Rattus norvegicus: one gene and its partner. The protein of the gene in region 1 purifies or fractionates together with the protein of each later gene. This does not show direct contact. Links are inferred from orthologs where the notes say so. Each region holds a gene or a part of one and is shown on either strand. Other genes may lie near its edges.

What was found.
Region 2: the proteins of Poc1a (region 1) and Nudc purify together in Homo sapiens (co-immunoprecipitation; 3 studies listed by BioGRID and IntAct, with this or other methods). This does not show direct contact. The link is inferred for Rattus norvegicus from reciprocal best matches to the Homo sapiens genes POC1A and NUDC.

The regions. Positions count from the first base shown.
Region 1 is NC_086026.1:115,804,252-115,808,058, reverse strand, and holds part of Poc1a (POC1 centriolar protein homolog A), read right to left. Parts: intron 2,781-3,807; coding exon 2,609-2,780; intron 2,299-2,608; exon of another isoform or gene 2,265-2,298; coding exon of another isoform or gene 2,251-2,264; coding exon 2,071-2,250; intron 567-2,070; coding exon 459-566; intron 1-458.
Region 2 is NC_086023.1:151,052,230-151,056,776, reverse strand, and holds the start of Nudc (nuclear migration protein nudC), read left to right. Parts: upstream 1-1,516; 5' UTR 1,517-1,594; coding exon 1,595-1,675; intron 1,676-4,547. UniProt on the Homo sapiens protein: Plays a role in neurogenesis and neuronal migration. Necessary for correct formation of mitotic spindles and chromosome separation during mitosis. Necessary for cytokinesis and cell proliferation.

The DNA of each region.
Region 1 (3,807 bases):
GCAGTCTGCTTAGACAGTAGAAAAGCTCAGAGGCCCCGCCTACTCTGCCTGAGTAATGCGGCATAGGACGAAGAGCCAATACCAGCTACGAGAACCGAGGCTTTCATTCATAAATCATCACCATGGGGGAACACTAAGTTCTGACATACAGTTTAGGGGGTTGATTCAATGTTCAGAAAGACACATTATAATTTTGAGAACTAGAAACTAAAAGGGGGAAAAGAGACCAAATTATTGTGTAACTCTAGGTAAAAAATTTCTGCTGTCTATGGGATAAGGATGGGGCTTAACTCTCCATCTACAAAGGAAAAGGTAAAAGTGCATATGAAAAGCATATTCAGTTGACGAGCAGCAAGCAGGGCTGATATATGCACAGCCCAGCCCCTGAAGGCCCCTGGGTCACCATGCCCTGACCTACTCTGTGCAGGACCCGCAGTGGGAGGACGACAGAGACTCACCCGCCGTGCTCACAGTATGAGTGGACACACTCCCGGCTGGTCTTGTCCCACAGCTTGACAGTTTTGTCATCGCTGGCAGACACGATGAGCCGCCCGTCAGGAGAGAACCTAGGTTGACAGGACCATAAGTCACACTACTTTGAGTACCACACTGTGTTCTCTACAGCCACTTCCTCTAGCGTGCTATTGCCTGATCCAGGAACTCTTTGGCATTAAGGCTTTTTTTTTTTTTCTTTTCTTTTCTTTTTTTTGGAGCTGAGGACCGAACCCAGGCCTTGCGCTTGCTAGGCAAGCACTCTACCACTGAGCTAAATCCCCAACCCCGCATTAAGGCTTTTTAATGTTGTTGTTTTGACATAGGGTCTTACTGTGTAGCACTGGCTGGCCTGCAACGCTATATGTAGATCAAACTGTGGCAATCCTCCTGCCTCAGCCTCCCAAGTCCTCCCAAGTGTGTACCAACAACTGCCTGACCCGAGAACCACCTACGGGCATGTGCTGCTCTGATACCTTGAGTGATCCTGGACAAGCGGCCTCCTCTGTGAGACAGACCCTCTGCAGTGCCCACCCGTAGCAAGCACACGGTAGCACAGAACACCCAGGAGACAGATGGCCTATAGCAGTACACAGATGGTGCTGCTTGATACATGGCGGTGGTCAGGAACACCACATGAGGACATCAGCAAAATATGAAGGCCAACAAAACACATGGAGGTCCTGAGACTTACTATTCAAGGTCTACCGAGGACTTAACACCCAACTTTGCTGGCTTGCCCTCCCTATCAGTACCCGCTCTCTGAGCAGGGCCCTCCCAGAATAAGAATGGTTCTGTCATAGAGAATAAGAAACTTCCAGAGGAAGATAGTTCAGTGGTCCCCAACCTCCGACTTTCATGGTTTCTTAGTGCTCCTTGGACACCCTCCTCTGGAGCAGAGCTGTGACATGAGAAAGCTCTGTTAAAGAAGCTGACAAAACCACAGGCAGGAATATGTTTTCTGTAATTCTTCAAGCCACTGGCATCCCACCTCCCACACCAGAGCCAGGGCCTCCACACCAAGTCCTTACCCAGCAGCTCTGAAGTATAACTAAGCTGAGTAGATACTGCTCTGTTGGAAGCCTGTTTCTCTCTCTGCAAACTAAAGAAGATGCTACCTAGCTGGCAGAACTGTCCTCAGGAACAAGGAGAAAGCACACCGTGGTACTGAGAGGACTTGTGGCTGCTGCGGCTGCTATCTGCTAGCCTGGGAGTGCTCCACACACCTGACAGAGGGTCATGGCTGACTAATATGTGTCACATAGAACTCAATGATGCTCCCCCAACAAGTTCAATACAGCAACCACTATTGACATATTACAGATTAGAAAAATAAGACTCGGGGTTGGGGATTTAGCTCAGTGGTAGAGTGCTTGCCTAGGAAGCACAAGGCCCTGGGTTCGGTCCCCAGCTCCGGGAAAAAAAAAAAAAAAAAAAGTTACCCGTACAGAAAAATAAGACTCAGGGGTACACTAAAGGGAGGTAAACAACCTGCCCAAGGTTACAAGCTGACACCTGCAAGCCCTTCTGACCCCAAACCCTTCACGCTCCCAGGTTCTCCAGACAGGAAATTCTCACTTGGCACAGCGGACCCAGTTGATGTGCTGGGTCAGGGAAAACAGGAATCTCTGGCGATGAGTTGACCACACCTTGACTGTCTTGTCATCAGAGGCTGTCACGAGCAACTGGCCATCACTGCAGAAGTGGACGCTCCTCACTGTGGCCGTGTGTGCACGGAACACAGTTGACTCACCTTTGCTGAGGATAGACATCCAGACTCAGGAGACTCATAACAGACATGAGAACCTACAAGGACACCAAAGTTCTCGCCAACTCCCTAGGCCTAAGTGTCCCGGTCTCACCCCAAAGAGGCCAGAGCTGCCCAACAGAAACAAAGTGCTTTTCCCACCACCACCACCCTCGTGTGAGCTGCAACACCAGGTAGCAGCCATTCCAACATAAGGAGACAGCCCAAGCGAAGCTTCAGCCTCTGATGGCACCTCAGAGGTCACATGTCCCACTGTGACAAGCTCAAAGCCAGGATAAGGACCCAAGGAGGGACAGCTCTTATACCAAGTCCCTCGATGCTGTCAGTCCCTTGAAGTCCAGAACTCACACATTGGGTACCCAGATTCGAACGGTCTTGTCTCGGGAGCCTGAGGCAAGCAGGTGTCCCGATGGGGAGAAATTCACACAAGTCACGGCGTCCTTGTGGCCCGTGAAGCGGTAGGCACGTGACTGGGGCTTCATGTGCCAGATCATGAGGGTTGAGTCCATGGAGCCACTGGCTGAAGAGAGTAGTAACAAGATGATTCTCAGATCTCAAGAATCACAAGCACCCACCTCAATGCCAGGGATGCAGGGGCACAACAGCCCATCTCCACCATCACAGGCATTCCCCAAAGGACGATGACAGGATCCCATTGGGACGGCCTGCATCTGTGATTACTGACCTATAGTTTGGACAGTTATGGCCTGGCAGTTCTCCTTGTAGCAGGCCAACACAGGACATTTGCATGACATTTCTGTACTACAACCCAAGGCCCTTGGTCTCACCATTGATACTCTAAGAGCCTGTCAGACACAAAAGGCCCTGTACTATTGGAAGGACCTAACTTGGGGCTGGAGAGATGGCTCAGTGGTTAAGAGCACTGGCTGCTCTTCCAGAGGACCTGAGTTCAATTCCCAGCAACCACATGGTGGCTCACAACCATCTAGAACTGTAGTCACATGGGATCCAATGCCCTCTTTTGGTGTACAAATGTACATGCAGGCAAAACACCCAGATACATAAATAAATAAATCTTTAAAAGAAAGAAAAAAATAAAAGAAAGGACCCAACTTGGTGCTGGAGAGATAGTTCAGTGATTGAGAGCACTTGCTACCCTTCTAGAGGATCTAGGTTCAATTCCCACATGGTTCTGTACTCCAGTTCCAGGAGATCTGATATTATCTCTGGGGCCACCTGGCACACATATACTACTCAGACGTACATGCAGGTAAAACATTCATGTGCATAAAATAAGGCAATCTAAGTTAAAAATAAAAGAAAGGCAGGTGGTGGTGGAGGAGGCAATGTACACCTTTATTCCCAGCACTTGAGAGCAAAGGCAAGAAGCCTCAAGTTCAAGGCTAGCCTGGTCTATGGTGTGAGTTCCAGAACATCCAAGGCTACACAGAGAAATCTTCTCCCAAAGAATACATAGATAGATAGATAGATAGATAGATAGATAGATAGATAGATAGATAGATCGATCGATCGGGATAGAGATAGATAGGATAAAAATAAAAGAAAGAACCAAACCTAATAAGAAG
Region 2 (4,547 bases), on another chromosome or scaffold:
AGATGGTTGTGAACCATTACGTGGTTGCTGGGATTTGAACTCAGAACCTCTGGAAGAGCAGTCAGTGCTCTTAACCACTGAGCCATCTCTCCAATCCCCCTCTCCCTGGTTTGATCTTAAGACCACGTGTTCTGTCTGGAATACCTGGAGAGTGAGAGTAGGCTAGGGTCAGGATTACTCTAGCCCAGAGTCTAAATGGTAGCCATTTGCTCAGAGAAGCCAGGCCTTCTGTATTAGGGTTTCTATTGCTGTGATGAATCACCATCACCAAAAACAGCTTGAGGAGGAAAAGATTTATTTGGCTTCTACTTCCACATGTTAGTCCATCTTTGAAGGAAGTAAGAACAGAAATTCAAACAGGGCAGGAACCGGGAGGAAGTAGCTGATGGAGAGTCCATGGAGGGGGCTGCTTACTGGCTTGTTCCCCTCAGTCTGCTTCCTTACAGAACTCAAGACCACCCCCCACGGATAGCCCCTCCCATTATGGGCTGGACCTCCCTCCGTCAATCACTAATTAGGAAAAGGCCCTCCAAGTTTGCCTATAGCTGGATCTTCGGGAGGCATTTTCTCAATTGTGGCACCTCCTCTCTGATGATTCTAGCTTATGTCAAGTTGACATATAATTAATCAGCCCAGTTTCTAACATGGAGGTGGTTCCGACCAGCCCTCAGAGACCTCAGTCTGACAGAGGGGATGAGTCCTGTTCTTTGGGACTGTTCATCTGAGGTTCAACCCTCCAGAATCCCTATTCCAGGGTGTGGGACAGCCAGGCTCTCTGGCAAAGTTTATGTTACTAATCTTCTAACAGTATAGCACTCTCAGGTTTACAAAGTAATAAATAAATGTACGCGTGGGAGCGGTGGGGCATGTTCAGGTGACACAAGCCCGCAACCTCAGTGCTTGGAGGTAAAGGCAGGCAGACCAGGAGTACAAGTTTCTCCTTTGCCTTGGATACACCGGGCCTGTCTTAACAAAACAAGCCATTACCTCTGCCACCAATAGCAACGACAAAACAGAAAAACTAAGGATGTCCAGACAGTAATGGAAGAGCATTAACTTCAAAGCACAAACGGTTTGTAAAGCTGTTCTATACAAACTACAATTTTTGTGCTCTTGAAAGTCTAGTGTAGTAGGATGTAGTAGACTGTCCCTTCGGTGAGTGCTTTCTTTCTGAGTCTCAACTGTGGCTTTAGGAGGAGAAGGCTGAAGGTACCTGCCTACTTGATCAAAACTTCCAGCCGTATTAAGATGTGAGCTCAGAGCTTTCTAGAAAGCTCCCAGGTATCTGGTGACCATAGCAACTCAAGCCAAACTCTGCGGTCGCGAGCCCCGCCCACTGCTTTGGGGCCGCGCCTGTTGATTTGCTGCTCGGGTTAGCCAATGAACGGCGAAGCGGGTTGTGTTCCGGGAGTTTAATGGGCACCGATGGTTGGGGAGGCGGGAAGAGATCTGGGAAGGGTGGGCCCTCACGGCTTGCCCGTGCGTGTTTCCGGCTCCGCTGCGGAAGGCTAGCGAGGGGAACCGTTGGGCCCGAGCGAACCGTACCGAGCGCGGGCATCGCAGAGCGCGAGTGCGGAGCTCGGAGCGCAGCACGATGGGAGGGGAGCAGGAGGAGGAGCGCTTCGACGGCATGCTGCTGGCCATGGCGCAGCAGCACGAGGGCGGCGTGCAGGAGGTAAACGACGTGGCCCGTGCCGCAGCCCTTCTCTGTGGACGGCCGAGACCTCCCCCACCCGGGCCGCGCGGGTCCCCGGGTCCCCGGGTCCCCGGGTCTCCGCGCCACAGCTTCCGGTCTGCCCACCCCGCGGGTGAAGTCTGGCTCCAACGCCGTCAGCGCCCAACACCTAGCCCCCAAAAGCAATATTCGTTGTCCCAGAGTGACCCCAGAGCTTCCGCACCCACTCTGCGCTCCACGGGTGTTTTTCCTTTCATTTTAATGGTTACTCTCCAGAGCATCCCTAATGGTTACTCCTTAGAGCATCCCTGGATCGACTCTAATGCACGTGATCTGCATCTTATCCAGAGCAGAGCCTGTCTATCAATACTGTGTAGGGTAGTGAGAGCCAGGGTGAGGTTAGCACGTGGTCTCTTTATACTTGAAACTATGCTGAGTGAGGAAGTGAACCGGAGACCTGTAGGTTAAGCTTCCTCCTGGACTAGCGTCAGTTGCCTAGTTTGCGAGGTGAAATTTAGGAATATCAGTTCATGGTTTTTTTCTTTTTCTTTTTATCTTGAGTCAGGGTTTTGCTCTGTATCCCTGAACTTGCTGTGTAGATCGAGTGACTTCCAATTCCTTCTGCCTCTGTGCGGGAACTTGGATGTGGGCCACCCTGCCTGGCCCCCTAGTTTTGTTTAAGTGTTTGACATTTTCGTGTACCAGACACATAGTAAGACTGGATCCTGGGGATGCAGACACGGACAGAGACCAGACTTCGCCTTTGGGGAGTTCCTTGAAGATTTCTTGCTTTAAAAAATTATTTGGGGGGTTGGGGATTTAGCTCAGTGGTAGAGCGCTTGCCTAGGAAGCGCAAGGCCCTGGGTTCGATCCCCAGCTCCGAAAAAAAGAACCAAAAAAAAAAAAATTATTTGGAGCAGGGTGTGTCTTAAATCCCAGCATTCAGGAGGCAGAGGCAGGTAGAGCTTCGAATTTGAGGCCAACCTAGTCTACAGAATGAGTTCTAGGACAGCCTGGGCTACACAGAGAAATCTTGACAAAAACAAAACGAAAGAAATGTATTGTGTCAGAACAGTTTCATGGGGGCAGTTCTCCCTTGCCACCGGTGTGTGGGTTTTTAGTGTTGAATTGCTAGGATTTGAGGCAGTCACTTTTTCCCAGTGATTCATCTTGCAGATCACAGTGAGCATTTCAAAAGTTTAATTCAGTGCTGGATATGATGGTGCAGGACTGTAATCCTGACACTGGAGAGGAAGAGGCAGGAATCAGGGATCTGTAGTAAGACCCCCAGATATAATAACCCTCAAATAACCCACAGGAGATGTTCAACAACCAGACCTCGTTCACACAGTGGGTATGTAGTTGATGAGCCACAAAGATGAGCTGGCATGGGTGCCGTTAATTTATTTTTTTTCAAACCAATACTGGGAGAGGTGGAAAAGCCTATTGTTGTCTTCAGAGATATTCCATTCTGTAAGTACTTGAGAGTCAGAGTGACAGGTTTACTGAAAACCAGACCCCAAGTCCCTGAGGAGACAGTCCTGCGGTCTGTCACTGGGGATGGAGTCTCCTTTAGTTTTCCATTCTGTCGTAGAGTGACCGTTGCTGTGATAAAACTTGAAGAGCAGCTTGGGGAGGAAAGGCTTTACTTCACTCACGGGTCTGTATCACCATCATCATCAAAAGCAGCTGGCCAGAATTGGAGGGAGGAGCTGATGCAGAGGTCATGGAGGAGTATTTCTTACTGGCTTGCTACTCCTGGCTTGCTCAACTCTTTTTTTATAGAACCCAGGACACAGGGGATGACCCCATCCCCAATATGCTAGGCTCTCCCATTAATCACTCCTTAAGAAAATGCCCTAGGGCTGGAGAGATGGCTCAGAGGTTAAGAGCACTGGCTGCTGCTCTTCCAGAGGTCCTGAGTTCAATTCCCAGCAACCACATGATGACTCATAACCATCTGTAATGGGATCCGATGCCCTCTTCTGGTGTGTCTGAAGACAGCTACAGTGTACTCATTAAATAAATCTTTAAAAAAAAAAAAAAAAGGAAAATGCCCTAAAGGCTTGCCTACAGCCTGATTTTTCTATGGAGGCGTTTTCTCGATTGAGGTTCCCTCCTCTCTAATGACTTTAGCTTCTGTCAAGTTGACATAAAACTGGTCACTACACATTCTAAGTCTTTCTGTAGGTGCCTGTGTTGACCAAGGACTTCTAAATCTCTTTTAAGTGGGAGAGTGTGTCTAATCTGTAAGTGTGAACCTTCTTGTCTCTGTGTCCCTAAACTGATACAACACAAAAGTAGTTGGGAGTGAGTTCACTTTGTTTCAGAGAATGTAGTGTCTAGAAGTAGGGATCGTACCCATTAGGGTAAGTTCCGGCTTCAGACTTAGAACTATTCACTGGGGTGAATGTTGTGCTAACTGGGGCAGTGCCAGCAGCTTGTGTTTTCCCCAGGAGTTTACTAAGCTTGGGCTGTCCTAACACTTGACAAGCACTCAGTGCTCCCTGCTACCTGTGGCCTGACATGACCATCTGCCTTAAGCTTTTGCTTCTTATCCTTCCCACTGTGATGGGCCAAAATAAACCCTTTCCCCCTTAAGTTGCTTTTCCCAGGTCTTCTGTTTTTGTCGCTGTTGTTTGTTTGTTTTTTATTTTTTCTTGCTTGCTTATTTTTTTAATCACAGCCTAGGGATAAGGAAAGCAGCATTTCTGTGGGGAACTGAGACAGGTCCCACTACATAGCTAAGGCTGACTGTAAACCCATGATCCTCCTGCCTCAGCATTGGGATTATAGGCCCGTGCCACCATGCGCAGATGTGGAGCTGTCATTCTCATTGGGAAAATTTAGTTGGGTGTGGTAATGCACACTC